7 linked regions of the Callithrix jacchus genome follow. The protein of the gene in region 2 binds, or shares a complex with, the protein of the main gene of each other region. Links are inferred from orthologs where the notes say so. Each region holds a gene or a part of one and is shown on either strand. Other genes may lie near its edges.

The links.
Region 1: RBBP7 (region 2) and CHD4 share a complex: the UniProt entries of both Homo sapiens proteins name them as parts of the nucleosome remodeling and deacetylase (NuRD) repressor complex. The link is inferred for Callithrix jacchus from reciprocal best matches to the Homo sapiens genes RBBP7 and CHD4.
Region 3: RBBP7 (region 2) and CDK2AP2 share a complex: the UniProt entries of both Homo sapiens proteins name them as parts of the nucleosome remodeling and deacetylase (NuRD) repressor complex. The link is inferred for Callithrix jacchus from reciprocal best matches to the Homo sapiens genes RBBP7 and CDK2AP2.
Region 4: RBBP7 (region 2) and BPTF share a complex: the UniProt entries of both Homo sapiens proteins name them as parts of the BPFT-SMARCA1 complex. The link is inferred for Callithrix jacchus from reciprocal best matches to the Homo sapiens genes RBBP7 and BPTF.
Region 5: RBBP7 (region 2) and EZH2 share a complex: the UniProt entries of both Homo sapiens proteins name them as parts of the PRC2/EED-EZH2 complex. The link is inferred for Callithrix jacchus from reciprocal best matches to the Homo sapiens genes RBBP7 and EZH2.
Region 6: RBBP7 (region 2) and CHD5 share a complex: the UniProt entries of both Homo sapiens proteins name them as parts of the nucleosome remodeling and deacetylase (NuRD) repressor complex. The link is inferred for Callithrix jacchus from reciprocal best matches to the Homo sapiens genes RBBP7 and CHD5.
Region 7: RBBP7 (region 2) and HAT1 share a complex: the UniProt entries of both Homo sapiens proteins name them as parts of the type B histone acetyltransferase (HAT) complex. The link is inferred for Callithrix jacchus from reciprocal best matches to the Homo sapiens genes RBBP7 and HAT1.

What each region holds. Positions count from the first base shown.
Region 1 is NC_133510.1:20,794,844-20,798,962, forward strand, and holds the start of CHD4 (chromodomain-helicase-DNA-binding protein 4), read right to left. Parts: upstream 2,801-4,119; 5' UTR 2,690-2,800; exon of another isoform or gene 1,928-2,689; intron 1,839-1,927; 5' UTR 1,761-1,838; coding exon 1,661-1,760; intron 1-1,660. UniProt on the Homo sapiens protein: ATP-dependent chromatin-remodeling factor that binds and distorts nucleosomal DNA. Acts as a component of the histone deacetylase NuRD complex which participates in the remodeling of chromatin.
Region 2 is NC_133524.1:17,115,702-17,119,201, forward strand, and holds part of RBBP7 (histone-binding protein RBBP7), read right to left. Parts: intron 2,968-3,500; coding exon 2,794-2,967; intron 1,799-2,793; coding exon 1,683-1,798; intron 1-1,682. UniProt on the Homo sapiens protein: Core histone-binding subunit that may target chromatin remodeling factors, histone acetyltransferases and histone deacetylases to their histone substrates in a manner that is regulated by nucleosomal DNA.
Region 3 is NC_133511.1:124,584,843-124,588,439, reverse strand, and holds CDK2AP2 (cyclin-dependent kinase 2-associated protein 2), read left to right. Parts: upstream 1-1,411; 5' UTR 1,412-1,491; coding exon 1,492-1,573; exon of another isoform or gene 1,574-1,715; intron 1,716-1,884; coding exon 1,885-1,982; intron 1,983-2,076; coding exon 2,077-2,209; intron 2,210-2,572; coding exon 2,573-2,640; 3' UTR 2,641-3,097; downstream 3,098-3,597. UniProt on the Homo sapiens protein: Acts as a component of the histone deacetylase NuRD complex which participates in the remodeling of chromatin.
Region 4 is NC_133506.1:90,441,276-90,445,278, forward strand, and holds the start of BPTF (nucleosome-remodeling factor subunit BPTF), read right to left. Parts: upstream 2,801-4,003; 5' UTR 2,577-2,800; coding exon 1,952-2,576; intron 1-1,951. UniProt on the Homo sapiens protein: Regulatory subunit of the ATP-dependent NURF-1 and NURF-5 ISWI chromatin remodeling complexes, which form ordered nucleosome arrays on chromatin and facilitate access to DNA during DNA-templated processes such as DNA replication, transcription, and repair.
Region 5 is NC_133512.1:98,835,246-98,839,460, forward strand, and holds the start of EZH2 (histone-lysine N-methyltransferase EZH2), read left to right. Parts: upstream 1-1,415; 5' UTR 1,416-1,523; coding exon 1,524-1,597; intron 1,598-4,215. UniProt on the Homo sapiens protein: Polycomb group (PcG) protein. Catalytic subunit of the PRC2/EED-EZH2 complex, which methylates 'Lys-9' (H3K9me) and 'Lys-27' (H3K27me) of histone H3, leading to transcriptional repression of the affected target gene.
Region 6 is NC_133508.1:44,024,462-44,027,961, forward strand, and holds part of CHD5 (chromodomain-helicase-DNA-binding protein 5), read right to left. Parts: intron 2,902-3,500; coding exon 2,777-2,901; intron 1,664-2,776; coding exon 1,432-1,663; intron 1,206-1,431; coding exon 1,095-1,205; intron 823-1,094; coding exon 650-822; intron 1-649. UniProt on the Homo sapiens protein: ATP-dependent chromatin-remodeling factor that binds DNA through histones and regulates gene transcription. May specifically recognize and bind trimethylated 'Lys-27' (H3K27me3) and non-methylated 'Lys-4' of histone H3.
Region 7 is NC_133507.1:57,562,135-57,565,634, reverse strand, and holds part of HAT1 (histone acetyltransferase type B catalytic subunit), read left to right. Parts: intron 1-2,555; coding exon 2,556-2,735; intron 2,736-3,003; coding exon 3,004-3,125; intron 3,126-3,500. UniProt on the Homo sapiens protein: Histone acetyltransferase that plays a role in different biological processes including cell cycle progression, glucose metabolism, histone production or DNA damage repair. Coordinates histone production and acetylation via H4 promoter binding.

The sequences.
Region 1 (4,119 bases), on a different chromosome or scaffold from region 2:
GCTGGAAGTAGAGACAAAGATAACCCATGGAGGCAAAGCGGACATCCTTCCATGCACATACAGCCCCCAAACTTCTCAGGCAAATAATATGCTGAAACGGCAAACAGCAAAATGACTGAGATAAAGATTTGGGAAAGGGACAGGAATGGGGTGTGGCAAGTGGAAAAAGTGGGTCACACTACAGCCCAGGACAGAGTTCACAGCTCCTGCATAGCTCCCAGTCAACATGAAGGGCAGCCCCAGACCAATGGGCCAATAGGAGGCCAAGATGTGGAACCCACAATGTCTAGGCAGCACTACAGTTTCTCATGCCCCTCTTAGAAGGACAGGGTCCCCTTACCACCACCACCACCCTGCTCTCACCTTGGGCAAGAGCACAGAAATCTGCCTCTCTACCCTACACAAGGATGAAACCAAGTTTCTCATCCCAACAGTTGAAGACTCCATGACAAGACTAACCCCTCTCCTAAATGGCCTCAGGTTGAAGTAAAGACTTCCAACTTAAAAAGTGCAAAATTTGAGAGCATCTCTCCCAGACCACCGCAACTTCCACTGGAGCTAAGAAGAGAGCAGAGTGAAGAACGCTGGATGAGAAACAAAAACAGAATCAGCAGGCTCCAGAATGAGAAGAAAAGTAGAAGCAGAAGTGATGAAGCAGTGGCATGTAGGAAAAAAAATGAACCTAGAAAAAATGAAGGTCAAGGAAACAAGTAGGTGACTTAGCTAGGGGCTCTGAAGAAAGACAGAAAAGAAAGAGATCTGCTTAGGAACGCGAGATCAATCATCATTTGAGAATAGACAAGGGCTCCCCCAATCAGCCAGGGTGGTTATAACCATACGGGTTTGGCCAGTTCACGGAGCCACCCCAAAACACAGATAGTGCAACCTCTAGCACACCTACACAAGGCACTTCACACTGCCAGCCTAAACCCCGGGCTACCTCACAGAGGCAGAAGCTGCTAGGAAACAAGCCAGAATTATGTCCACTAGCCAGGTGAAGAGGGGTGCCCTCCCTTCTTTTGCCTCTCCTCACTAGGCTATTACATCCTCTCCAAGCCCCCATCACTTCCCCACTCAAAACATTCCAGCAATCTGCCTGGCTAAAAGCGCTCTAGATCATGCTGAGGAGCGCGATTCAAACTTCACACAGTTGAGACAGCACAGAAAACCGGTAACTGATCAGAAGCTAAAAATAATCAGATAGAGCGTAACCAGCACTCCCTCTTTCCTTTCCACAGAGGCAACCACAAGATTCTACTAGCACAGATGCCCGGCTGGTCTTCTCAGAATCCTCAACGTCCCCCTCCACCACCACCACTACCACAAGCCTCCAGGGGTCCCAACTACCTGCATTCCTCCGAGGACCCACACACAAGGTAATGCGTGCCAGCCCAGAGAGCTCCCTCAACTGGGAACTGCAGAGCATTCCTCAAGACAGAGTGCAGCAAGCTGGCATCTCCGTCCGCGGTGCCCAGGAGGCACATGGCTTCCACCCCCCTCACACCAGAGCTCCGCAGAAGGGAACCACTCCCTTCGGATGCCCTCCACCTTCGGCTCTGCACAGAGACAGCCGAGCAACACAGCCCTGCCTCCCCAGAGAAGTCACTCGGGAGAGTCCAAATGCCTCCTTCCCACCCAGGGCCCTTGGGGAAGATGTTACCTGGGTGGGGTGGGGGCAGGCTGTTGTTCAAAAGTGCATCCATATCCTCCTCCTCACTGCCCGCCGAGCAGGGGGACGGGGAGCCCAGGCCCGACGCCATCCCCTTCCGCTCCCGGCCAGGGAATTGGCCCAGCTGCTCCTGCCGGCGGCCTGGGGCCCTCTACACTGGCCCGAGTCACTGTGCGGGGGAGGGGGGAGAAAGAGAGAACAGTCAGTGACGCGCACTGTCCCCTTCCCCCACACCCACCCGCTCTTTCCGCCCCCCACCTCAGCCACCCTAGCAGGGCACCCGAACCGCTCAGGCTGAACTTAGTTCCACACTCCTCGGGGGCAGCCCGGAAGCCGGCTCCCCGGCAGGCGCCCCCACGGAGCGAGGGAGCGACGCCTCCGAGGGCAGGCTGGTGCAGGCGCGGGGAGGGAAGACGCTGGACCGAGCGGGGTGTGACGGGGGAGGGGGTCCGAGTGGTAGCGGCGCGGGGGGGGGGCGGGCCAGGGGAGGCGGCAGGCAACAAGGCGCTCGGGGACACAAGGTCACTTGGGGGTGGGGGGGCGCCTCCCTGCGCCCGGGGAGGGGCCAGTCCCCAGACAGGGCAGCTCTCCAAAGGCTGTCCTCTGGGACAACTCAGGTTCTCCTCAAGAGGTGCGGGGACGAGGGGGCGTGGAGGCTCTGGCACTGCGGGGGGCCGGAGGCAGGGACGCGGGGGACGAGAGCGTCCCACCGGGAAGGGGGCCGGGCCACGTGTGTCCCGGGGGGCAAGTGATCAAAGGGCGAGGGGGCGGGCGCCGGGCATTGTGGGAGACCAAGCCAGAGGCGGAGGGTCGCGGGGAGCAAGACTCTGGCAGGGTTAGGGCGGGGGCTGGGAGGAGGCCGGGCGCCCTGCAGGGCCAGGAAAGGAAGGGTAGGCTTCTCCGGGCAAGGGGCGGTCCGCGGGTCGGGGGACGCTTGACGAAGGGGCGGGTGACGGGATGACCCTCCGGGCTGGTCCGGCCGTGAGGGGCGTCTTTTTGGGAACCCCGCGCTCTCCTCACCCCGGAGCCGCCGCAGGTTGCGCTGGGTCCGGCCTGGTGTCACTCCCGCTCCGACTCCTCCTCGCCGCGGCCGAAGGGGGGAAAATGGCTCCGGCTCCGGCGTCGCCTCTTAAAGGGCCTGAAACACCGGCCGGGAAATCCCACCGCACAGGCCCCGCCCCCCCACGGACAGCCCATAATAACCTCAACCAACTCCAACCCCCCCCCACTACCGCCACCCTCCTCCCCAGGTCTCCCGGGCAACCCCCGCCCCCTCGTCGCTCAGGCAACCATTGGCCACGCCCCTTCGAGCGCGCGCGCGCGTGTCACCTGGGCAACCGCCCACCTCTTGGCCATCCCATAATACACACGGACACTCCCCCCACATACACAAAACACACACCCCGCCCCCCCCACATTTCATACACATATATGCCAGGGGCTACTGACATCTGATGATATTGCAGACCTTTTGCAACTAACCCTCTTAGATATCCCATAATAGCCATCCTTTGCCAACTTCTTCACTCTTGGCCCTAATGCTAACATCCCATAATAATTCATCACCCCTCCCTCCCCATGGCCATCCCATAATAAGCAGCCCTCCCGGCACTTATGCCTTATATCCCATAATACTCATCCCCATCCCCCACAGACATCCCATAATAACCACCCTCCATCCACCCCCAGTTTGATATCCCATAATAGTCAGAAACTCACCCCCCCCCATACTACAACAACGGACACTCGGCCTCCTCCCACACACATCCAGTAATAATCAGTCTCCCACTTTCTATACTGACATCCCATAATAACTAACCCCCTGGGGCTGCCCTCAGTCCCTGCAGGCTAGGGTCTAGAGGCTCACAACACCCCCAGCCTTCCCTCTCCTGGTTCCACAGTCTATGATAAGTACCCCTCTATCAAAAAGATAACCCATAATGATCAACTGCCCTACTGTCGCCCTACAGATGGACAGACATCTAATCTCTTTTCCTCTAACACTGGAAAGCTATCCCATAATAATTTTACTCTCCTACCCACATCCTGACATCCCATAATAATTGCAAGGCGCCCGTGGTCAACCAAACATACCATAATACTCCCAACACAACCCAGTGTCACATCCCATAATGCTTCATCTCCACTCCACCATCCCTATACCCTTGAAGCCAGGCATCCCATAATATTCATATTCTTCCCACCCCCATCTCCAGGCGCTGTCAGTCTATTCTAACACCTCGAGCAGGGAGGGCCAGGCAGGCTACCCACGCTTCCCTGTCCCCGCCCCCACTTGCACACACACCTTAATCCTTTTCTGGGCCAAAGCAGTATCCTGGCAAAAAGCCTCCTGATGTCTGGAGCCCAGCTTCCCTCATACCATCATTTCCAGACACTCAGGGGCCAGGAGCCCACCTAAGGCCTCACCCAATCCCACCAAAATCCAGGTA
Region 2 (3,500 bases):
ATATATGCTCATCATCATTAGTCATTAGGGAAATGCAAATTAAAACCACAATGAGCCATGTGTGCTGACTCATGCCTGTCAATCTCAGCACTTTGGGAGGCCAAGGCAGGAGGATCTTTTGAGCCCAGCAGTTCAAGACCAACATGGCCAACATAGTGAAACCCTGTCTCTATTAAAAATACAAAAATTAGCTGGGCCTGGTGGCACATGCCTGTAATCCCAGCTACTTGGGAGGCTTAGGAAGGAGAATCACTTGAACCCAGAAGGTGGAGGCTGCAGTAAGCTGAGATTGTGCCACTGCGCTCCTGGGCAACACAGCCAGACTGTCTCAAAACAAAACAAAACCCCTCCCCCACCCCCCCCCAAAAAACAACAACAAAGAAACCCAGCAGATACCACTTTACACACACTAGGATAGCTATAATAAAAAAAAAAGACAAGCACTAGTGAGGATGTAGAGAAACCGGAACATTTGTACATTGCTTGTGGAAATGTAATATGGAAAGCCACTTTGGAAAACAGTTTGATAGTTGTTCAAAAAGTTAAACAGAGATACCATATGGCCCAGTAATTCCACTCCTAGGTATGTATCCAAGAGAAATGAAAACATACATCCACACGAAAACTTGTACACAAATGTTCATAACATAATTCAAAATAGCCCAAAAGTAGAAAGAACTCAAATGGTTCGACTGATAAATGAATAAGTAAACTGTGGTATATCCATACAATGGAATATTGTTAAGCCATAAAAAGGAATGGAACATAAGAAATGTTACTTGAAAACATTATGCTGGCTGGGCGCAGTGGCCCACGCCTGTATTCCCAGCACTTTGGGAGGCCAAGGCGGGTGGATGACGAGGTCAAAAGATCGAAACCATCCTGGTCAACATGGTGAAACCCCGTCTCTACTAAAAATACAAAAATTAGCTGGGCACGGTGGCATGTGCCTGTAATCCCAGCTACTCAGGAGGCTGAGGCAGGAGAATTGCCTGAACCCAGGAGGCGGAGGTTGTGGTGAGCCGAGATCGTGCCATTGCACTCCAGCCTGGGTAACAAGAGCGAAACTCTGTCTCAAAAAAAAAAAAAAACAACAACAAAAAAACATTATGCTAAGTGAAAGAAGCCAAACAGAAAGGCTGCATATGTGATTCCATTTACATGAAATATCAAGAATAGATAACTCTATGGAGATGGAAAATAAAGTAGTGCTTAGGAGCTAGGGGATAGCAGGGAATGAGTGGGGAGTCACTGCTTAATGGGTATAGAATTTCTTTTCGAGAGTGAATGAAAATATTCTAGAATTAGTGGCAATAGTTGTGCACCTTTGTGAATATGCTAAAAGCCACTGAATTGTACAATTAAAAATACTTTATATCAATCAGGCCCCACAAACACTCTACAGTTTCCATTATAAGGGCCTGGAGGGTCCTCTTTTAAATAATGGAAGGCCTTTTGCCTATGCTCCCTCCGTTCTAAGGCTAATTCAAAAGAGCTCTGTGGAATCTGAAGACTCATATAGGGCAGTATGAAAACCATCTCTCTAAGTCCCAGGGAAATGTTATCACAATAATCAGCAGTATTATCTTAGAAAGCCTTTCATCTATATAGTATTCCTTCAGTACAGCTGTGATACTTTAGCTCCCACTATATGAACAGATTACAAAGAATACGTTTCTCACATGGTCATCAGATGCACTTAGGAGATGTCCACTCAGATTCGAATTCCAGGAGAGACCATAGCCTTCCTTCTGGTGACCTCTTAACCTGAGATCAGGATTACATTCTCCACTTGGGTCTAAGAAAAGAAAAATATTAAGTTATTCTCTGTTTATCAGAAATTGTGAGAATAAATTCTCACTCCTTCATTGAGTGAGCCATTACAGCAACTGCACATGAACAAGATCTGGTCTGACCCATAACCACTTTAAAAAGCTGTTCTCTTGGCTTTGTTTTTAATATCCAACACAAATTGAGCCTCAGAACCATTAAATGATTGGTTTCTTTGGAAAACCTACTACCCTCAACACAAAAACACTGAAAACTATAGCTATCCCACAAATCTGGGAAGTGGTAACCCATCCCCCACCTCCCAATTTTTAGAAGTATTTCTAATACAGCAGGTCTGGTTGCTCACTCCTTGCATGCCTCTAGGGTATCCTGATTCATAAGTGACCCTTGGACAACCTCTGGGAATGTGACCCTCAGAAAGTCCTTCGCGTCACTGACTGATAAAGTTGTGTAAGCCCAGAGCAGTGGGGTATGTCACAGGGACTTGTTAAGACTTGTAGAATTGTTTAGCAAGATTCACAATGCATTTGGCTTCACTGTTGGAGGCCTCACTTTTGTTATCATGGCTAGTCAAAGAACAGGATGCGCCCACGCAAACAGACCTCCACAAAAACCCCCGATTCTGAAACTTAAATGGGCTGCCCTCGATAGAAACATTTAGCAAATGTCCCTGTGGTTTGCTGCTAGAGACAAAGCATGTCCTATGTGGCCCTAGATGGGAAGGACCCACACACCTGTAGCTAACCTCTTTGGACTCCCCCTGATGTGTATCTTTTTCCTCCTACTTTTGCTCTGAATCCTTTGCTGTAATAAATTTTAGCTCTGAGTATAAACTGCTTTTAGGCAGTTCTGGCAAATTCCTTAACTTGAGGATGATTATGGGACCCTCCAAAGCAACTTTTAAATCTTTAAACATTATAAAGTATGCTACTTTGACCTTAAAAACATTACCAGTTTGAATCAAGAAAACTGCTCAAGCAATGGCCTGACTTTACCACATACCTGGTTTAGCAGGGTGCTTTGTATAGTCAAAAACCAACACATCAGAAGATGGTGTTTTTGTCGCAATGATGTGAGGATTCTGCGGCATGTAACGAGCACGGTTTACTTCTCCTTCATGATTGATTTTAATTTCACATTCAATTTTTCCTGTTACAGAACCAAAGCCACCAAATTCTAATGTGAGGAGAAAGAAATAAACACACACACACACAATCAGGATTAAAATTCACAAATCACTTATTTTAATCAACCTAACAGATTTTGACCTGGCAGAATACAACACAAATTGACAAGGCAAAGACAGAGACATACATAGAGAGAGAAAAATCAAAAAAATGTGAGCTCATTTGCCACATCAATTTATTCCCATTTTCATTGAAAAATATTGGTAGCTGCCTTATGCAACTTAATTCGGTTCCACCTTGGATCTAAAACAACTGTCCTCTTTCAGTTATGAAGATGATATATTCACTGAGATTTCAAAGAACCATATAATAAGCAGACCAACAGTTTTTTAGTTCAAATATAACTCATTTGGAAGCGCTGCACTGAATTAGCATCTTATTTTAGGATTCAACAAAACAGGAAAGGTTTTACCCTTAGGAGTATGAACATTCTATGAGTCTAAAGTCAGGAGCATCCGTAAATTAATAAAAAAACCCATGCTAACCCCTACCCATCCCTAAACACACATATGTTGGCCCTGC
Region 3 (3,597 bases), on a different chromosome or scaffold from region 2:
ATGTTGGCCAGGATGGTCTCAATGTCTTGACCTCGTGATCCACCCTCCTCGGCCCACAATTCTGGGATTACAGGCGTGAGCCACCTCTCCGGGCCGAACTCCTGACCTCAATCAGCCCACCTCCACCTCCCGAAGTGCTGGGATTACAGGCGTGAGCCAACACGGGCCAGAACATGTTTGTTGGATGGATGAATGAATGAACGACTGTCCTGGAGATGAAGATCTACAAAGCTGGGACCATGAAGGTACGTAAGGCCAGAGAAGTTTGAGCTTGGGGAAGGAGCCTGGGAGAAAGGGTTAGTGAGTGGATGAGGGTTTGAAGTCTTAAGTTTGTGGGGAGTGAGATTTGAGGGGAGGCGTCTGAGTGGTGGAATGGAAAGGTATGGGGGCCCTGGAGTGGGACAGGAAGGCGGGGAATGAAACAACAAGCACTTTATGACATTCACTTAATCCACACAACAACCCAATGAGATCGTCATTTTCCCCATTTTACGGATGGGAAAACTGAGGCATACTGAGGCGAGACACTTGCCTGGGGGAAATCGCCAGTGGGGGTGGTGCTGAGATTCAAACCCAGGCGGTTGGCTCCAGACCGTGCTCTTGATCAGTTTGGTACCGGCCCGCCACACAGTAATCTCGCAGGTTTGCCCTACGGCCATTGACACCAGCTGAGGCGGCGGCGCGGGGCCTTGGGGGTGCGGGCAAAGGGGTCTTTGAGGTCGCCCTTGGACCTGACGACCAGCCAAGCCACAGGAAGAGCTGCGCGTGGCGGCACTGAAGTAGGGCCTGTTGCCATGGGAACAAACGCAGGCCTCGGGCGGACGCATGCGCAGATCGGGGAGAGGGTGTTGAACCGGTGAAAGGTGACGTAAAAGCGCACGGGGTGGGGCGCGGGGCTCGGGACGTCAAAGCTCTGCGTCCTTCGGCCCCAGGAGCGGATAGGGACGCACAGCGGCGGCGACAGAAGCGACGGCAGCGGCGACAGCAACCCCTGCTGGGCCGAAACTGGGCAGAGCAGAGCCGACGTCTGAAGCAGCGCGAGTGAAGCGCGAGGGTAGCGCCCGCGTCCGGGAAGACCCCTCGGCGCGAACCGGCGGCCCAGCCCGGGGTCCGGGGCCTCGAGGCCCCGCCTCTAAGGCCTGGGGACTAATCGGATTGAGAGCGCGCCGGCCCGGGCGGCGAACTCGCCAATTGCAGAGGGCGGCAGCCACCGCCCAATCCGGAGCAGACAGGTGCGAGGTCCGGAAGGCGGAGACCAATCGGTGGCGGTTGCGACCTGCTGGGGCAGGTCTCGTCCAATAAGGAGGCTCGAGTGACATCTTCAGGCGCCAATCGGGAGTGAGGGAGCATTCGAGCCCGCTCGCCCTTCCGGCCAGACCTCTATTTACCAGAGGCGTGCAGCCCGCTTGCCAATCAGAGCGCGGCTGAGCGGCCCGGCGGCCAACCCCCGAGGAGCGGCTGGCTGGCGTCCGCCGCGCCCAGGAGTTGGGGATGTCCTACAAACCCATCGCCCCCGCCCCCAGCAGCACCCCTGGCTCCAGCACCCCTGGGCCGGGCACCCCGGTCCCTACAGGTGAGGATCCAGCTCCACCCCTGCTCGCCTGCCGGGCGGTCGAGGTCTCGAAGAGAAGACGGCCTGAGTTCTGCAATACTGGGCCTGCCGCCTACCCCTCGCTGAGCCTCAGTTTGCTGGCCTGTGAAATGGGCGTGGTCATGTAAGGGCTTGTAGGTGGAGCTCAGGGGGAGGGATTTGTCCCTGAAGTTAATCAGCATGGAATGAAGCATCCTTTGGAGGGAATCGGGCGAACGCGGTCCTGGGCTTGGAAAAGCAGGGAGGCGCGTCCCTGCCCAGCGCTGACCTCTTACTCGCGCCTGTTGCTGCAGGAAGCGTGCCGTCGCCGTCGGGCTCAGTGCCAGGAGCCGCCGCCCCTTTCAGACCGCTGTTTAACGACTTTGGACCGCCTTCCATGGGCTATGTGCAGGTGAGTGGGGCCAAAGCCTTGCTTATGGATGGGGACTGGAGTTTCCTTCCCTGCCAGGTGCCTGAGCTCACTGCCCTGTTCTCTTTTGACATAGGCGATGAAGCCACCCGGCGCCCAGGGCTCCCAGAGCACCTACACGGACCTGCTGTCCGTCATAGAGGAGATGGGCAAAGAGATCCGGCCCACCTATGCTGGCAGCAAGAGTGCCATGGAGCGCCTGAAGAGAGGTAAGTGAGGCCAGGCCGCCCTGCCCTGCCCTGCTCCCCTGCTCAGGAAGCCGACACTGCACTATCCTTCATTAGGGAAGTAAGGACATCTGGAGGCCACCCGAGCGACGCCTAGACTAGGGCCAGTATTACTATGCAGAGAGGTATTTTGAATTGAAATTGAGTCCGTTTCCAGGGAAGAGCCTGGGAATTTGTATTTCAACAGGGCCACCTTGAGGATTAGCCAAACCTCTAATCTCATCTCGCCATTATTAGATTTGAATTTCTCTTGCCGAAAGGAAAGGGAGTGGGGAGGCAGTGGTGGTCCTCTGGAGGGCGGAGGTGGGGCTATGGAGGGTTGCTGAGACCCCACCCTACCCCCAGGTATCATCCATGCCCGGGCCCTAGTCAGAGAGTGCCTGGCAGAGACAGAGCGGAACGCCCGCACGTAACAGGAAGCCTCTCGGCCTCAGCGTCTGGACCTTTCCCGGCCACTGCAGAGCACCCGCTTCTCCCTGGCCATCATCCCGAGTTGCACTAACCATCCTGGGCTTCCTGTCCTGTGTCCTTTGGTGGGTGCCCTCCAGGAACCAAAGGGTGGCTCTCACTCCAGGTGGCAGCACTAAGAACGACCCCCCCCACAACAAGAGTTTAGCAGCGAGGTCCCTGTGAGTCGCGCCCATGACCTGCCGACAGTGTTGCCCACCGGAACTTTCTGTGGCCCCCACTGCTCAGCCCCTCCCAGCACTTCTCCCACTTCGTCCCGAGCCTCCCTCTCTCCCAGCAGGGGCTCAGGCCTGGCACCTGCTTGCCTTGTGTCCTGGGCCATAGTGACTCTTTTCTCTGTGTGTCTTTTGCTAAATATGCCCTTTTTATATTAATAAAAGATGATTTGGAGTTGTGCTGTCAGCTCTGAGCCTTTCTGGGTCTGGTTCTTCAGTTAAGCCTGGGTGGGCCAGGCAGAGAAGGAAGAGGAGACTAGGGGTGGGGAGGGTGTGACTGAATGGGGTTTGACTTGCCTCTGTGGGCCACAGGCCTCCTGTGGGACCCAGGCCCTCTCCTGCCCCAGCCCTGGTGCTGAGAGCCCTGGGCCTTCCTGTGGTGCCACCAGGGGGCAGAGCAGGGCCTGGCTGCTTCCACAGCCCTTTGCGCTGTGGGCAGCCTGGGCCTGGAGGGCACTTCCTCTGGATTGGCAGTGATGCCTGGCAGCGTGGAAATGCCAGTTCACGTAAGCCACTCCCTTACACTCCCTAATGCCCTGACAACACCCCAGCCTCTGAATCAGCCCTGAAGGTCTCTGACACCGCAGAGAGAATGCACACTGCTGCTTCCAGCACTGGCCTCAGAGTCAAGCAGAGAGGCTGGCGGGTGCTGCCGTCACCGCCGCAGCACCTGTAGCAGGCTGGGCG
Region 4 (4,003 bases), on a different chromosome or scaffold from region 2:
TATAATGAAGACCAACAAGTGATTTCTCAAGGTAAAAATTATTACCATAAAAGGTGTACTAGGCCAGGCACGGTGGTTCACACCTGTAATCCTAGCACTTTGGGAGGCCAAGGTGGGCAGATCACGAGGTCAGGAGTTTGACATCAGGCTGGCCAACACGGTGAAACCCCATCTCTACTAAAAATACAAAAATTAGCCAGGCATGCTGGCAGGTACCCGTAATCCCGGCTGCTCAAGAGGCTGACAGGAGAATCGCTTGAGCCCAGGAGGTGGAGGTTGCAGGGAGCCATGATCGTGCCATTGCACTCCAGCCTGGGCGACAGAGCAAGACTCCGTCTCAAAAACAAAAAGATGAGCTAAAATTAAGTTGGCAAGAATTTACCTGTAGTCCTTTCTACATCTAAGACATAAATACCTGACACTTGATTCATTCCCTTCATTCTCCACATAGTCCCCCCCAACCCTCACAAGCCAGGCAACCATTCTGACCATCAGGCAAAATAAATTACCTTTTTTCACTTTGTTAGGACAACTCATGTGGGTTTACATTTGGCTTAATATAATACTACTCTACTTCTCCAATAAGTAAGCATTTATAAAAAACAGAAACTTCTCAATTTAACCACTTCTACTATCCGAGTCTCTCTGAGAAAGACATGACACACCTTAATTCAAGGAAAAAAGGTCCTTTTTCCTCACAAATATTTCCTCATAAACTTTATTTTTCAAATGCTTTTAAAACCAGATTCTAATTTAATTAATCTAGATTTGCAAAATTATAAAGGAAAAGTCTTGCCAGTTGTTGCTTTGGTTATGTTAATTTCACAATTTAGTAAATTTCAACTACCTATTTAATACAAAGCAGTCTTTTGGAAGAGGGTGAGGGGTTTTTAACAAAATGCATCTCAGCACCAGCCTGGAGAAACTTTTTGTGAGAAAACAGAAGAGGGGTTACCATGGAGAAATTCATTACGGATTTCTGTGAGGGCTTTTTCCTCAGAAATAGAGTGAAAAGAAAAAGTCGTCGTGTAATAAATCTGATACTGATGCTACATGACTTAGAAAAAAGTTCATCTTCGGCAATTATGTCTAGAGGATCAACTACACATCTTGTGCAACAGGTGACACGAAACTGCATTTCCCAAGCCAGGCAAAGCGATCAAATGAGTTAAGACAAGCGTTCCTGCGGTTTTGTACTTTTATTTTTGACTTAACCAAAACAATTTTGAATCGGATGAATTACCAAATTTGGTTGGGTCTTGTTTGGCTTTCTATTTTGCTTTTTCATCAGCCATTTACCAGCAACTGTTGCATGAGCCCATTGGCACTCGAAGAATAAAAACAAACACGCAGGACCAGATAAAGTTCCCCTACTAACCCAAATGATCCATTTCCTTAACACAATTTTAAAACCACAGCTAGGGGTGTGAAAACAGGCATGTTTTTGTGTGTGTTTGTGTGCCACAATCTGCCCAAATCCTTAATTCCCTTTTAAGTAACAGATATATAATAAAAATCTGAAAGAAACCATATTAGAAATGCAAAGAGGTTTGCAAAACAAGAGGCTTCTTTCATTCCAGAAAACCACACCAAAACAAGGGAAGAAAAATGAATGCAATGGATACGTGTCTGCCAAAGTTTCAATCCTGCCCGGTGGAGACATCGCACTGGCACAAATTTTGAAGAGGAAAAAGAGGGGGTTGGGGGGAGAGAGAGCAAGCGAGTGTGGCCTGCAAACTGCAACAATGCAATCTCCATTTTGAACAATGCGCCTCTTTCCTCTTGTAAATCTAGTTTTTTGCCACTTGATGTGCCGTCGCATTTCCCCTCTGTTTGGGGGGAAGGCGGGGTTGGGGGGAGATCGGAGCAGGATGCACAGCACACGAGTGAGGAAGGGGGGAGGGCAGAGGAGGTGGGGAAGGAGTCTGCAGCAACTGGGCTGGGTGGGTACCTGGAGTGCTGCTGTAGGTACTATGGCTCCTGAAGCTGCTTTCCGTGCAGTAACTGGCGTCGTCGTCGTCGTCTTCCATCTCCTCCGGATAATCGGAGTCATCGTCGTCCTCCTCCATCTCATCCTCCTCGTCGTCCTCAGAATCTTGGGTCTCCTCGGCGTCGCCGTCCTCCTCCTCCTCCTCCTCCTCCTCGGAGACCATGTCCTCCTCTTCCTCCTCCTCCTCGCTCTCGTGGTCATCGTACACCACTTTGTTGACGGCCCTCCGGGCCGCGGTGGTCCGGGCCAGGTGGCCGCCGCCGCCCCCGCCCCCCGTCCTGCCTCCCCCGCCTCCTCGCCCCCCCCGGCCCGGGGCGCTGGTGCTGGGGGGGGCCGGCGGCGGCTGCGGCTTCCTCCGGCTACTGCTGCCCCCCCTGGGCGAGCTCAGCCGCGTCTTGGGCGCCACCTCAGCCTGGGCGGCGGCCCACCTGCCCCGACTACTGCCGCGGTGCCGCGAGCGGAGCCCCCCGATGGGTCCGGACGTGGGCGGCGGCGGCGGCGGCGGCGGCGGCGGCGGGGCCGGGGCGCAGCGCTCCGCAGCGGGAGCCGCGGGCTGCTTGGGCGGCCTGCCCCGCCGGCCCCTCATGTCGGAGCCGAGGCGGGGGGGAGAAGGGAAAGCGGAGGGGGAGGGGCGGGCGCAGGGGGGGCGGTGGGGAGCGCCGGGGCCGGGTGGGGAAGCCCGCGGGGCCGGGCGGGAGGGGCCCAGCCGGCGGAAGCGGGTGGAGGGAGAAGGCTCAATCCGAATTGCTGGGGCCCCACTCCGGATCGCCTTCAGCCGCCATCTTGTTTCTTCCCTCTCGCTCGGTGACTGGGGGAACCGACAGCGGCCGCAGGCCCGGAGCGCGGTCACGTGAGCTGCGCCGCCGACGAGCCTGGACGGAGCGAGGCGGCGCAGCGGCCGCTAGGGGGAGCGCGGGAGCGCCGAGTCGGGGGCGGGGAGCACGGGGCTTCTGGGTTCGGCGCAGCTAGGCGCAGCTGGACTTCGGGCGCGGGTGGCGCGGCAGAGACGGGTGCGCAGCTCGCGAAATGCCCCTGTGTCAAAGGCCTTCGGAGACCATAGTCTCCGCGGACCCCTGGCTGGAGGCCAAAGCCTGCCGGACCTCCTCCCCGCGTCTCCCCTTCCGCGGCTCGGAGAGAAAGGCAGGAGAGCCCCCAAATATCATTCCCCTCCCGGCCCCCTAGGGAAACTGATGCTGAAAGAGCCAGAGAAAAAGAAAAAAAGGTATAGGAGCGGGGCGGCCGAACGACCGAGGACACTGGGCAGCGCCACCGACGAAGGGAAATTCCTAGAATTTAGGAAACTCCTTACCTGGGAGCTGGAGTCCTGAAATTGACTCGAATGACAACTGCTCCACGCTGTGCCAGGAGCCACGCCCGGAGGGAGGGGCACTTTAAGGCCTATTCCGTGGAACCCCCACTCGGAAAGCCTCAGGAAACTCCAGAACGCAACTACTGCACGTTCCAGTCTCCCGCCACCCTCCCAGTGCCCCAGCTAGGACCGCTACCACCTCAGCAGGAACTTCCCTCTCCTCTGCAGTGTAAAACGAAATCCTGCCTAAAAACCTACTTCACGGTGTTATGTTTGTATTATCGGGAAATAACCTTGATTTATTTATCTGACAAGTCACTAAGTTTCAGCTTAGCCCAGGGGACGAATCATGATGACATTTCAGGCACCCTCAAACCTTATCACAGGGACTCAACCGTGAGTGGTTGAGGGCAGCTCTTCAGATAAGAGGTTTTATAAACTTATATGAATATTTGAGATAAGTGACAACCAAAAAGTAATTTAAAGAAAAATAGTTGGCCTGGCTCGGAAACTCATACCTGCAATCCCAGCCCTTTGAGAGACGGAGGCCGGAGGATAGCTTGCGGTCAGCAGTTCGAGACAACCCTGGGCAACATATCAGGACCTCGTCTCTAGAAAAAAATTGAAAAATTAGCCGGGCATGGTGGTGTGCACCTGTGGTCCCAGCTACATGAGAGGCTGAGATGGGGGGGATCGCTGGAGCC
Region 5 (4,215 bases), on a different chromosome or scaffold from region 2:
GGGCTGGCTCGGCGCCTTCGAGCTCGGCGGGCCCTGTGATTGGACGGGTGCCCGCCTCGCGTCCCGCCAATCGGGGCGGCGCTTGATTGGGCTGGGGGGGCCAAATAAAAGCGATGGCGATTGGGCTGTCGCGTTTGGCGCTCGGTCCGGTCGCGTCGGACACCCTGTGGGACACAGAAGGCAGTGGAGCCCCGGCGGCGACGGCGGCGGCAGCGGCGGCGGCGCGCGAGAGCGACGCGCGGGAACGACGCGAGCCGGCGCGCGGGAAGAAGGTAACGCGCCCCAGCGGGCGGCCCGGCCGGCAGGGCTCCGGGAGTGCTAACCGGGCGGCGGCGGCGGCGCCAAGACTTCCCAGCCGCCGCTGTGCCGGTCCGGGGTATCGCCAGAGCGGGGCTCACAGGGGCGCCGCGTTTGTAGGCGTGCGGGGCTTGGAGGGTGAGGGGAAACCCCCCCGGAAGGAGCTGTGAGCTTCGGGCTGGCCCGCGGGACCCCGCGAGTGGGGGGCAGCGCGGACCCCCAGAGCTGCGGGGGTGGGGGGGCGTGCGGGGGGCTCCTTTCCCGGTGCTTGCCCTGACCGGGGCGCCAGGGCTGGGGTCGGGGCGTTCCGGTACCCAGTCCAGGGTGGCAGCTCGAGCTTTAAGTCTCCTTTGTGTGGCGCGGCCGCGGCGGGAGCGCCCGGGTGGGACGGGACAGACACAAGTTAGTGGGACCCAGCAGCCGAGCCGGCACTCAGACAAAGGACGGACTGTGTCTCCAGAGGGCTCGGCGCGAGGGAAGGGGCATGACACCCCGGCCCGCCGGCGGGCGGGAGAGGGGCGTGGGGAGGCGCGGGCCGCGGCCAGGGTGGGCAGGGCTCGGCCCCCGCCTGGCGCACGCCCCCGGCCCCGGGCGCGCCGACCCCCGGCTGGGGCTGCGGCGGCTGCGGGACGGCTTTCGCGGTGGGGAACTCGGAGTAGCTTCGCCTCGGTTTTTTCCCCAGAACGCAGCCCGAAACCCCCTTAGCTCCGGCGGTCGCGGGCTGCCCTCGCCGCCTGGTCTGGCTTTATGCTAAGTTTGAGGGAAGAGTCGAGCTGCTCTGCTGTCTCTTGATTGTGTTTTTGGAATGTTTCCTGTTGAATTGCCACTTCATTGTGTACATCGCCTTCCACTGCCCCCAGAAATCTGTACCACAGGGTTACTTTTTGAAAGCGGGAGGAATCGAGAAGCATGATCTTTTGGAAAACTCGGTGAACGCTTAATGAGTTCCCACTTTCTAAAGAATCGTAATCCTTAAAAAAAATTACAAGCTGTTTTGGCCAACTTGTGTGATACATCTGAGAATGGCGACAGGTGCTAACGAAATCAACTGCCATTCAGCCAACGATTATTCCCCAAATCCCAATGGGTTGAATGAGTATGAGGAGGTGGAAGTAGGTGATAGAATACCTATGACAAATGTGCATTTGGATTATATGGTTAGCAGTTTCTTATTAATTGTTCTTGTTTTCTGTGAACAATAGCTTTGGTGATTCAGAAAAGACTGGATGCAGAAATGTTTGTTGCCTAAGAAATTTAACGTGTGCTGTCCGCAGTTCAACTTCCTTTGTTTATCACTCAGGTTCTGTAAAATTTAAATTCATTTGGAAATAAAAATGTGTCTTTGCTATTTACTTAAAGGCTTGTTTTTTATGTTTCAAGCAAGTCATTATTTTGTGGCCTTTTGATGTCACATAAAATAACATTTGATAAACCTTTGAAAAACACGAATGTTGTCGTAGTTGAATGTAGCCTATAATTCTAGAGGTTTTGGAGTTTATTTTCTATTAACTCTTCATAAGCATTAGCAACTAATTCATATTTAGGAATATGGATCAAGTGTGTAATCCTAACTTGTTGATTTGTAATTTTATTTGCAATAAAACAAAAGTATTTAAGATGTATTTTAGTTTCCTATTTATGGTCTCTAAAGTTAGGAATAGTTAGGATTCTAGTCATAGATATAAAGCATCTTGTTTTCTCTTTTTGGAGGTGTGCTGGATTATGTAATATTTGAGGTTTCCCGGAAACAGGGAAATAGCATCTTAAATTCTCATTTTTGTGGAAGGTGAATATATTCCAAGAAAAGAAGTTAGAAAAACATAGGCGTTCTTTTGGTTCCACCGTCCTATCTGATAAAGATCTAATGTACATCTACTTACTTATGGTTTCACAAAAATGGAGGCAAATGCAGTAGAAATTTATTACATATATTTTGGAGAGTGTTGACACCCCTATACAGGCATTCTAGGTGCTCGTCTAAGTGTTGAGACATAACCAAAAAGTAATGTTTATGTTAGCTACTAATAATTCTGTGTTTAAAAAATCCTAACACTCCTGTCCCTTATGAGATGAGCTAGTTATGAAGATTTTTGGCAGAGATTCAGATATTTTAGGATAATTTTTTTTTTCTTTTTTGAGACAGAGCCTTGCTCTGTTGTCCAGGCTGGAGTGCAGTGACCCGATCTGTGTTCACTGCAGTCTCTGCCTTCTGGGTTTAAGATGTTTGCCTGCCAGCCTCTGGAGTAGCTGGGACTACAGGCATGTGCCACCATGCCCAGCTGATTTTTATATTTTTAGCAGAGAGGGAGTTTCGCCATGTTGGCCAGGCTGGTCTCAAACTCCTGACCTCAAGTGATGTGCCTGCCTCAGACTCCCAGAGTGCTGGGATTCCAGATGGGAGCTACCACGTGTGGTCTAGGATAAAAATTTCTAACTTTTGCCCTTGCATATTCTGTATTTGATAATTACTATTCTTTGTACTTGCCTTGAGATATTTTGAAAAACATCTCTTTGGGTAATTGATTTAAAAATTCATTTTAAATTATTTTCTGGTACAACTTGAGAATGTATTTAGTCAGTTTAAGTAGCAGTGATTTAAAAAAAAAAAACACACTGTTAGTCTAGTGTAGTTAGAAAAAGTTCTGATACTTTGTTACCTAGCTTTACCTTGCACATATACATATAAGTGAATATCTTTATGTTAGCATTTAAAATTTTTAGGCAAATTTCTTCAAGTCATACTGGAATTTTCCCAGGATATCTTTCTTCATTTGAGGTAGCATGCTTAAGGAGTGTGAATTTATTTCAGTATTACCATTTACATGAACAATGATTGAGAAAATTGATCTCTTTAGAAACCAGCAAGAAGAAATCCTCCAATATAATATATTCTGCAATTAATTAGAAATTATTTATGGATTAGCCTTGAAGTCTTTATGTCAGTATAAATGACAAATTTTCTGTAATCCTGATAGATTCTATATGGGTAGGTGAAACCTTTTAGGTAGAGCATAAGTGAAGAGCAGAAATTCATTAAATTCAGAGAAAGGTTCATGGTCAGATGATACTTTACCCTCTGGAGGTCTTCCCTGAATTCCCACTCTTGTGTTCCCACAGGGCTTGGATCATATTTTATTGTAGCATGACTCAATTATATTGTAATCACTTGTTTATGCATCCCTCTCTTCCCTACAGTCAAAGTGCCTCCCTGAGGCTCTTTCTTTTTTTTTTTTTTTTTTTTTAAGTATACCTAGCACCTACATTGGTAGTCGCTAGAGAATAGAGGTTTTAAATATGGTTAAATGAATTAAGGAAATATGAAAAATGTAGGGAAATAATTTGACAAAGGAATTTGCAAAGTGAACAGGATGTATTTATATTCATGTGAGCAGCTTTGAAAGGTGTTTTTCTCCCACTTTAAGAGGGAATGATTACAGAGAAAACTAGTTGTCAAGGTGAACAAGTTCCAAGTTTTTCCTAGTTATTTACTTCTGAAAACTAGGTATCTTTTAGGTGCAACTATTACACTCAGGCAACTGGAAAGAACTTTATGAATCATCTGGATACTTAGTATCTACTTAATTTGATTAAATGTTGATATTGATGATCCCTTTACAAAAATAAAAGGAAGGGAAAGGGTGAGAGGGTAGTAGATCTTTTAATTGAAAAGTCATTTTGTTATAATTCATGAGTTCTTTATTGGAGTAAATTGAGGTAGGTTTTGGGGCTAAAACGGAAGGATGTAGTGACCATGTAATTGGATTGTTTATTGGGATGCTCCCCATCATTCTTTTAAAATGATTTAAATATGGATTAGCAAATTCAATGATACCTCAACAGTTATAGCTGGTAAATTTCTAAGATGGCTGTACCATTCCATATCTTGCCACTGTTCCACTACTTGGTATAAAAGTAGGA
Region 6 (3,500 bases), on a different chromosome or scaffold from region 2:
CACTACAGCCTGGGCTACAGAGCGAGACTCTATTTAAAGAAAGAAAAGTGCGGGGCGTTCTGGAACACTAGCGGTCCAGGTGCAGGGCGGACATGTAGGCCTTGAGGCAGGGGCGGGAGGGCACACCGCGCCGGGAAGGGACTGACACTGGACCCGGGGGACAGGGCTCTGCACAGCGGGGTGGCAGGTCAGCTTGCACTTCAGAAAGTGGGGAAGCTGGATTGGAGCTAGGACGACGCCAGGGAGCAGGAGGCTGAAGATGTGTGCAAGGGCAGTGGCCGGCCCATGTGGCTGTACTGCCCTCAGCACTGCCTCCGTCCCTTCCCTCTGTTGTGTCTAGTGCTGAGCCCGCGGTTGCGGCGGCCGGGACGCCTTGGTAACAGCAGGGAAAGCCGGGCTGAGGCTGGAGGGCGGGGTTACAGCGTGGAGGGCGGGGTCACAGTGTGGAGGGGGGCTGCGGCTGGGGCGGGGCTGAGGCTGGAGGGCGGAGCTAAAGCGTGGAGGGCGGGGCTGAGGCTGCGGCGGGGCGGAGGCTGGAGGGCGGGGCGGAGGCAGGAGCGGGACTGCGGCGGCACGGCGGGATCACAGGGGAGGGCGTGGTCACGGTGGAGGGCGGGGCTGCGGCTGGAGGGCGGGCCGGGGACCTTACCACGCCGTCCTCCTCGCGCACCACGTACTGCGCCACCTTGAAGGAGCTCAGGTACTCGTTCATGTTCTGTAGTTCCGTGTCGTCTGTGGCGTCCTGGTTCCGGTCCAGCAGCTTGGAGATGGCCGCATCGTCATAGTGGATCACACTGCTGTCCTCCACATCCTTGTTGTCACCTGGGGAGAAGGCAAGTGCAGTGTGGGGACAAAGACTGCCCTGGTCCATCCTGGGGACCTGGGAACAGGCTCCCAACAATGGCCCTTCCCATCCCAGGGGCTGCAGCTGAGGGGCCTGTTGACCCGAAAGAGGAAATCACGCTGTAACAGCCCCATTCCCCGCCCACCCAGCAGTCCCAAGACACCCAAGTGAGGGTGTGTCGGGGAACCCCTCTCCAGGAGCAGCCTCCTGGTTGGAGGAGGAGCTGGGGTTGGGCTGGGTTGGCCCCTACCTGGTGGGGTGCTACCATGCTTCTTCTTTGCACTGGCAGCCAAGTTTCCCCCTTTGGAAGACTGGACATCAGGGATGGGTGTGACCGGCCTCTGGCCCTGAGACATCATGCCTATTGGGCAGAGGAGGAGGGCGCTGGTGCAGGAGCACAGAGGGCTGCAGGATTGGCGGGCAGTGCCCAGAGACACCACCCTGGGCTGCCCTGGCCAGGAGACACCAGTGGGGGTGCAAGAGAGAGGAAGAGTGTTGGAATGGGCAGGGACCCCATCAAGCCCTGGATGGGTGCCTCAGCAGCATGACCCCAGGCCCCACCACACTCCCTCGGGACAGAGGCCCACCCTCCACGTCATCCTTGAAGAGCTCCTCCGTGCCGAACTTGAGGATGTCGTCCAGCTCCTGCTTAGTCATGGAGCCCGACTTGGAGCCGAGGCCAGGCCGCACCACCAGGTGGGTGAGCATCATCTTGCGCTTGGCTACCTGCGTGATGCGCTCCTCCACTGAGGCCCGAGTCACGAAGCGGTAGATCATCACCTTCTTGTTCTGCCCAATTCGGTGGGCACGGCTGAAGGCCTGGGGAGACCTGCAGCTCAGCACCCATGGCTCACCCAGGCTCCAGGCAATGGAGGGGGTCACACCCATGAGCTCAAGAGCATGGAATGGGCTGCATGACTGGGTAGGGAGAGGCATGTGGTGCAGGCTTGCACCACTGCAGCTGGGCTCCCTCCCAGACTGCGAAGCCTCCCACGAGCCAGGGTGCTGGGCTGGGTTGGGAGTGGAAAAGCTCCCAGTGGAAGCAGCCAGGACTGCAGGTGTGCAACAGTGTGTGAGGGATGACACAGCCAGTGTGCTAGGTGTAACTGACATCACACAGAGCTTCATGGGGGCCCTGGGGAGGTAGGGGGCTGCATTTCCCTGTGATCGAGCCACTAATGGAACCACAAGACCATGTGCTGGAGATGTGCAGCCACCTTCCGAGGGCAGCAAGGAGCTGCATCTGCCCAGTATAATACAGGGAAGTGCCAGACTCTGCAGCCCTGCATGAGGTGATCTGGATGTGACCATGCATATGTGTGTGTGTCCACGGGCGCACAAACATGAATGAGAGACATCACTTTTTATGTGTTCCCCTACATGTGTAAGAGTTTGATGTGTGTGTCCCAGCCCCCGAGTGGGGTGGCCAGGGCTGTCAGGGTAGCTCTATTCCCATAGCCCCGCCCCCCACATCCCTCCCATCCTTCCTTGTCAACCCCATCTGCCCCTTGCACCATCTCATCCTCCCCCCACCTCTGACAGGCCCACTCTATGCTCCCCATCCCCTCCAAAATATATGCCCCTCTGGGTCCCAGGACTCCCTCATCCTGCCTCCCTCCATGGCCTTGGTCCTGAGGGTGATGGGAAAGACCAGAATCAGTGGCCACCATGAACTGCGGTGTGCCCTTGGACACTTCCCCTGCCCTCTCCAAGACTGTTTTCTCCTCTGGACGAGGACAGAGCTGGAGGGATGGGGCCCAAGCTTCCATTCATTCCCAGGGCCCCTCATGGGGCCAAGACTCCATGAGGGAGGGAGGCCCACAGCACCAGGGGAGGTGTGGAGGTCATGTCCAGGAAGGCATGAAGGACAGGAGAACCTGCCCGAAGCCCAGGGTAAGAGGGCCCTGGGAGGGTGGCAGCAGTGACACAGACCTGAATGTCATTGTGTGGGTTCCAGTCCGAGTCGTAGATGATGACAGTGTCCGCCGTGGCCAGGTTGATACCCAGGCCACCTGCCCGGGTTGAGAGGAGGAAGCAGAACTGCTGGGCCCCGGGGGCTGAAAAAGAGGCCAGCAGATGGGATGTTTGAGGGAGTTCACCTTTGGGGGTGAGAACAGAGGGAAGGAACTACAGCAACAGGTCGCTGGCAGAGAATTACAAAGCCAGAGACCTCATCAGAGATGAGAGGCCACAGCTGCACTCAGGGGAACCAGAGGAAGCCCGCTCAAGGCCGCTTAGTCCCCAGCGGTGCTCTGAGCCCTGGCCCAATGGGAGAGTGCTAGAATGAAGAGGAGGTCAATTTTCAAATCCCAGATGAGCAAAAAACAAAGTGGTTGTTTGGCCGGGCACAGTGCCTCATTCCTGTAATCCCAGCATTTTGGGAGGCTGAGGCAGGCGGATGACCTGAGGTTGGGAGTTCGAGGCCAGCTTAACCAACATGGAGAAACCCTGTCTCTACTAAAAATGTAAAATTAGCTGGGCATAGCCGAGATCACTCCATTCACAAGAGTGAAACTCTGTCTCAAAAAAAAAAATAAATAAAAGAAGTGCAAGCAGCCAGCAAGTACAGGCAGAGCCTCCAGAGAGCTCAGTCCTCCATGTCCCCCCAGCTCCCCACCCCCAGCTTCCCTTAGCCCATCGATGCCATCAGGGTGGC
Region 7 (3,500 bases), on a different chromosome or scaffold from region 2:
TGGAGTTTTCGCTTGTTACCCAGGCTGGAGTACAATGGTGCGATCTCAGCTCGCCGCAACCTCCGCCTCCTGGGTTCAGGCAATTCTCCTGCCTCAGCCTCCTGAGTAGCTGGGATTACAGGCACGTATTATGCCCAGCTAATTTTTTGTATATTTAGTAGAGACGGGGTTTCATCATGTTGACCTGGATGGTCTCGATCTCTTGACCTCGTGATCCACCCGCCTCAGCCTCCCAAAGTGCTGGGATTACAGGATTTTTTTGTCTTAAAGCAGAATCCATTTAATAGAGAAATAAAGACATTTTCCCTTTAGTGAAGCAAAGTTCTAAATTCTAGGTTGAAGAGCTATTTGGTTTTAAGTTGTATATTTTATGTAAGAATATCAGATACAAATTTATATATGTACATAAATACTTATAAATATATGTATATAAATATATAAAGATTCCTTGCTTTAAAATTGCCCCTTTTCCCTGAAAAACATTCTGAATGTGTAAACTTATACAAAGCAAAATATTTTATTTGAAGATATGTATTACAGTAAATAGGTGTCCGTTGAAGGCTGAAAACTAAACTTTAACTTTTTTTCAACTTTGTCAGGCTCAGACCTTTGGGTTGCTCTGCCCTCTGCCAAAAGTGCTATTTGAAACTTAGAGTTTCTGAGAAATCTTTGAAGTAGATTTGATACAAGATGTGTAAAGTGATTTGCAATACCTTGTTGAAAGACAGGACATAAGGGAAGTTTTTAAGTTAAAATTATGCATGCTATGAAAATCTTAAAATGATTTTTAAACTGATGGATTATAAATTTCTTTATTTAAAAGTAGTTTTTCTTGACTTTTTAAAAACCTGAACTAACATTATACTATACTGCTTTACTCATCACTGCTTTGGATTTTAATTGCTACACAACACACCTATTACAACCGTCCCTTGTTATGACAGTTTCCTTAGTAGTTGTTGAAATTGTACTGATTCTGTAAAATATGCTTAAGATGACCTCGTCACATTAGCTAGCAATTTCAAGGGAAAATATTTATCAAATAGTACTTTAAAAATAAGCAAAAACAGTTCTATGAAATGCAGTTTATTTGATCTAGAGTGTGAATGAGTTGCAAGGACTGATGTACATATTAGAAATAAACTGTTGAGCAAATTGCTGAAGAGGTATATTTTAAATAATAGCTCTTTTTTATAGCTATAAACAAATTATATATAAATGTTGGTGGTACCAGAGCATTGAAAATAAAACTTGTTTGTGATAAACTTCATTCCTGGTTCTCTATCCTAAAATGTAACTGAATCATAATAAAGTGCTATTCATCTGCAGGTGCATTGCTTCTACTTAGTTAAAAGATGGTTGAAAGGACAGGAATTAGTAGCATGTTGTATTAGCCTTTTGTAGTGTATTTTGTCCTAAGCATCTTAATTTCCCTGTTTTGAATGCTAAGTAGCAAGGGTCTTGGTTTAGAACTAATACCCATCATGCATGTAAACGGTATGAAAGAGCTGCTTAGTAAGTTAACACAAAGTGTTCTTGTGTCAGTCCTTGTGGAAATAGATACAATACAAACATTACAGCTGAACTCACGGCAAACTCCATTAAGTAAAAACCTGGCCTCATTGTTCAGAAAAAAGTTTGAATAGAATACAGGCTCATTTTGTTGAATGTAATGTCGGGCTTTTAGGGACTGTATTGAAGGATACGGTTTTGTTAAGTTGAGACCAATTCATTAAGTTTTATTGCCTGGTGAGAAGCAGCAATACTTTATTGTAAGACTTCATCAAATATTCATGGTTAAAGAGAAGTAGTAAATGTATTCAATCAAGTGGTCTTTTGGGATTTTGAAAAGGATTATGAAGTCTGCTCAGCTGATAATGTTGATCGAGGTTGTTTAACAAGGGTAATTTTAATCTCTGAGTTTAGTTTTGTTGTCCAGTCTTGACTCTTTTTTACTGTCACAAATCCAGGTCTATAAGAATTGTATCACATTCTAAGGATGAAAGAATAATATCCATTCATATAATATATGTTATTTTCTAAGTAGGTATATTTTTAAATTATCATCTTAGTTTGAGTTTGGCATATGAGGGAATTGTGACCCATCTACTTGTTCATTGTGAGATTGCTATTTGGTCAGACTCTAGCCTCTACTGCTGGTGATCTTTTCATTTCTTGGATAATATGATTTCTTTGACACATAAGATAATAAGCAACCTTTTTCCTTGGCCAGTTCAGATTGTCATAAAGGGATATAGTCAGCATTTTCTACATAACGGAAACGTCAATAGCATCGCCTTTGTTATTGTACTTGGTATCAGGCTACCTGCCCACCTGCCTTCTCTTAGTTTTACGTTATGCTCATCTCAGTTTTGTGTGATGCTAGTTTGTGCACAGGAAGCTCATCCTTTTCTAGTTCGGTGTGTGTTTGCTTCTTTAGTTTTCAACCAGAGTTTTCTAATTTGTGTTGGTTTTGTCAATTTTAAAGAAATTAACCATATTCAAAAGTAGAATTTGTTATTAATTTTTTATATCCTTTATCCTCCGTTCTTTAGGCAGATGATGTTGAGGGCAAAATTAGACAAATCATTCCACCTGGATTTTGTACAAACACGAATGATTTTCTTTCTTTACTGGAAAAGGAAGTTGATTTCAAGCCATTTGGAACCTTACTTCATACCTACTCAGTTCTCAGTCCAACAGGAGGAGAAAACTTTACCTTTCAGATATATAAGGTAAAGATAAATCTAAATATTTCTTGAGTAAAGTTATTCTATTTGTCTGAAACCGGTATGTAGTTTTGTTATTTTCAATGATTTATTCTAACTGCAGTAAACAAGTTTTATCAGCATTATAAACACAGATCTATTTTGTGTGTGTGTCTGTGTCCACATCTTAATCTGAGACTTCTAAACATTTTCCCACAGGATAATTTAGTGTTCAGCAGACTTTCACTTACCTTTGTGATGAGTTTCACCTGACTTTTCCTGGCTTTTTCCCTAGGCTGACATGACATGTAGAGGCTTTCGAGAATATCATGAAAGGCTTCAGACCTTTTTGATGTGGTTTATTGAAACTGCTAGCTTTATTGACGTGGATGATGAAAGATGGCACTACTTTCTAGTGTAAGTACAGTTCTAAAGCAACAGTAGACCTTATTACCTCCACAAAGCCAGCATTTTAATTGTGGCAGCCCAATTATTGGGACAGTATAATGATATTTTTCCCAGGAAAGAAAAACTATTGTTTATGAGGCTTGAGTTTTCCTTCATTATGCTTTGGGAGACCTTGAGAATAGAGCTGAATTAAATGCTGTTGTCCGTTAGGGCCCTGAATGTAGGCTTAAACAGTAAAATGAGCTTTGCCTGTGTTTTCTTTTACTTGCCACCTATTCATCTTTATAATAGGCAAGTGCACTGAAGTGATGTAAAGAGGTCTGATTTATCCAAGTTGCTGCACACCAATTAAGTGAATTGTACATTCAGAACATAGCAGGTGTA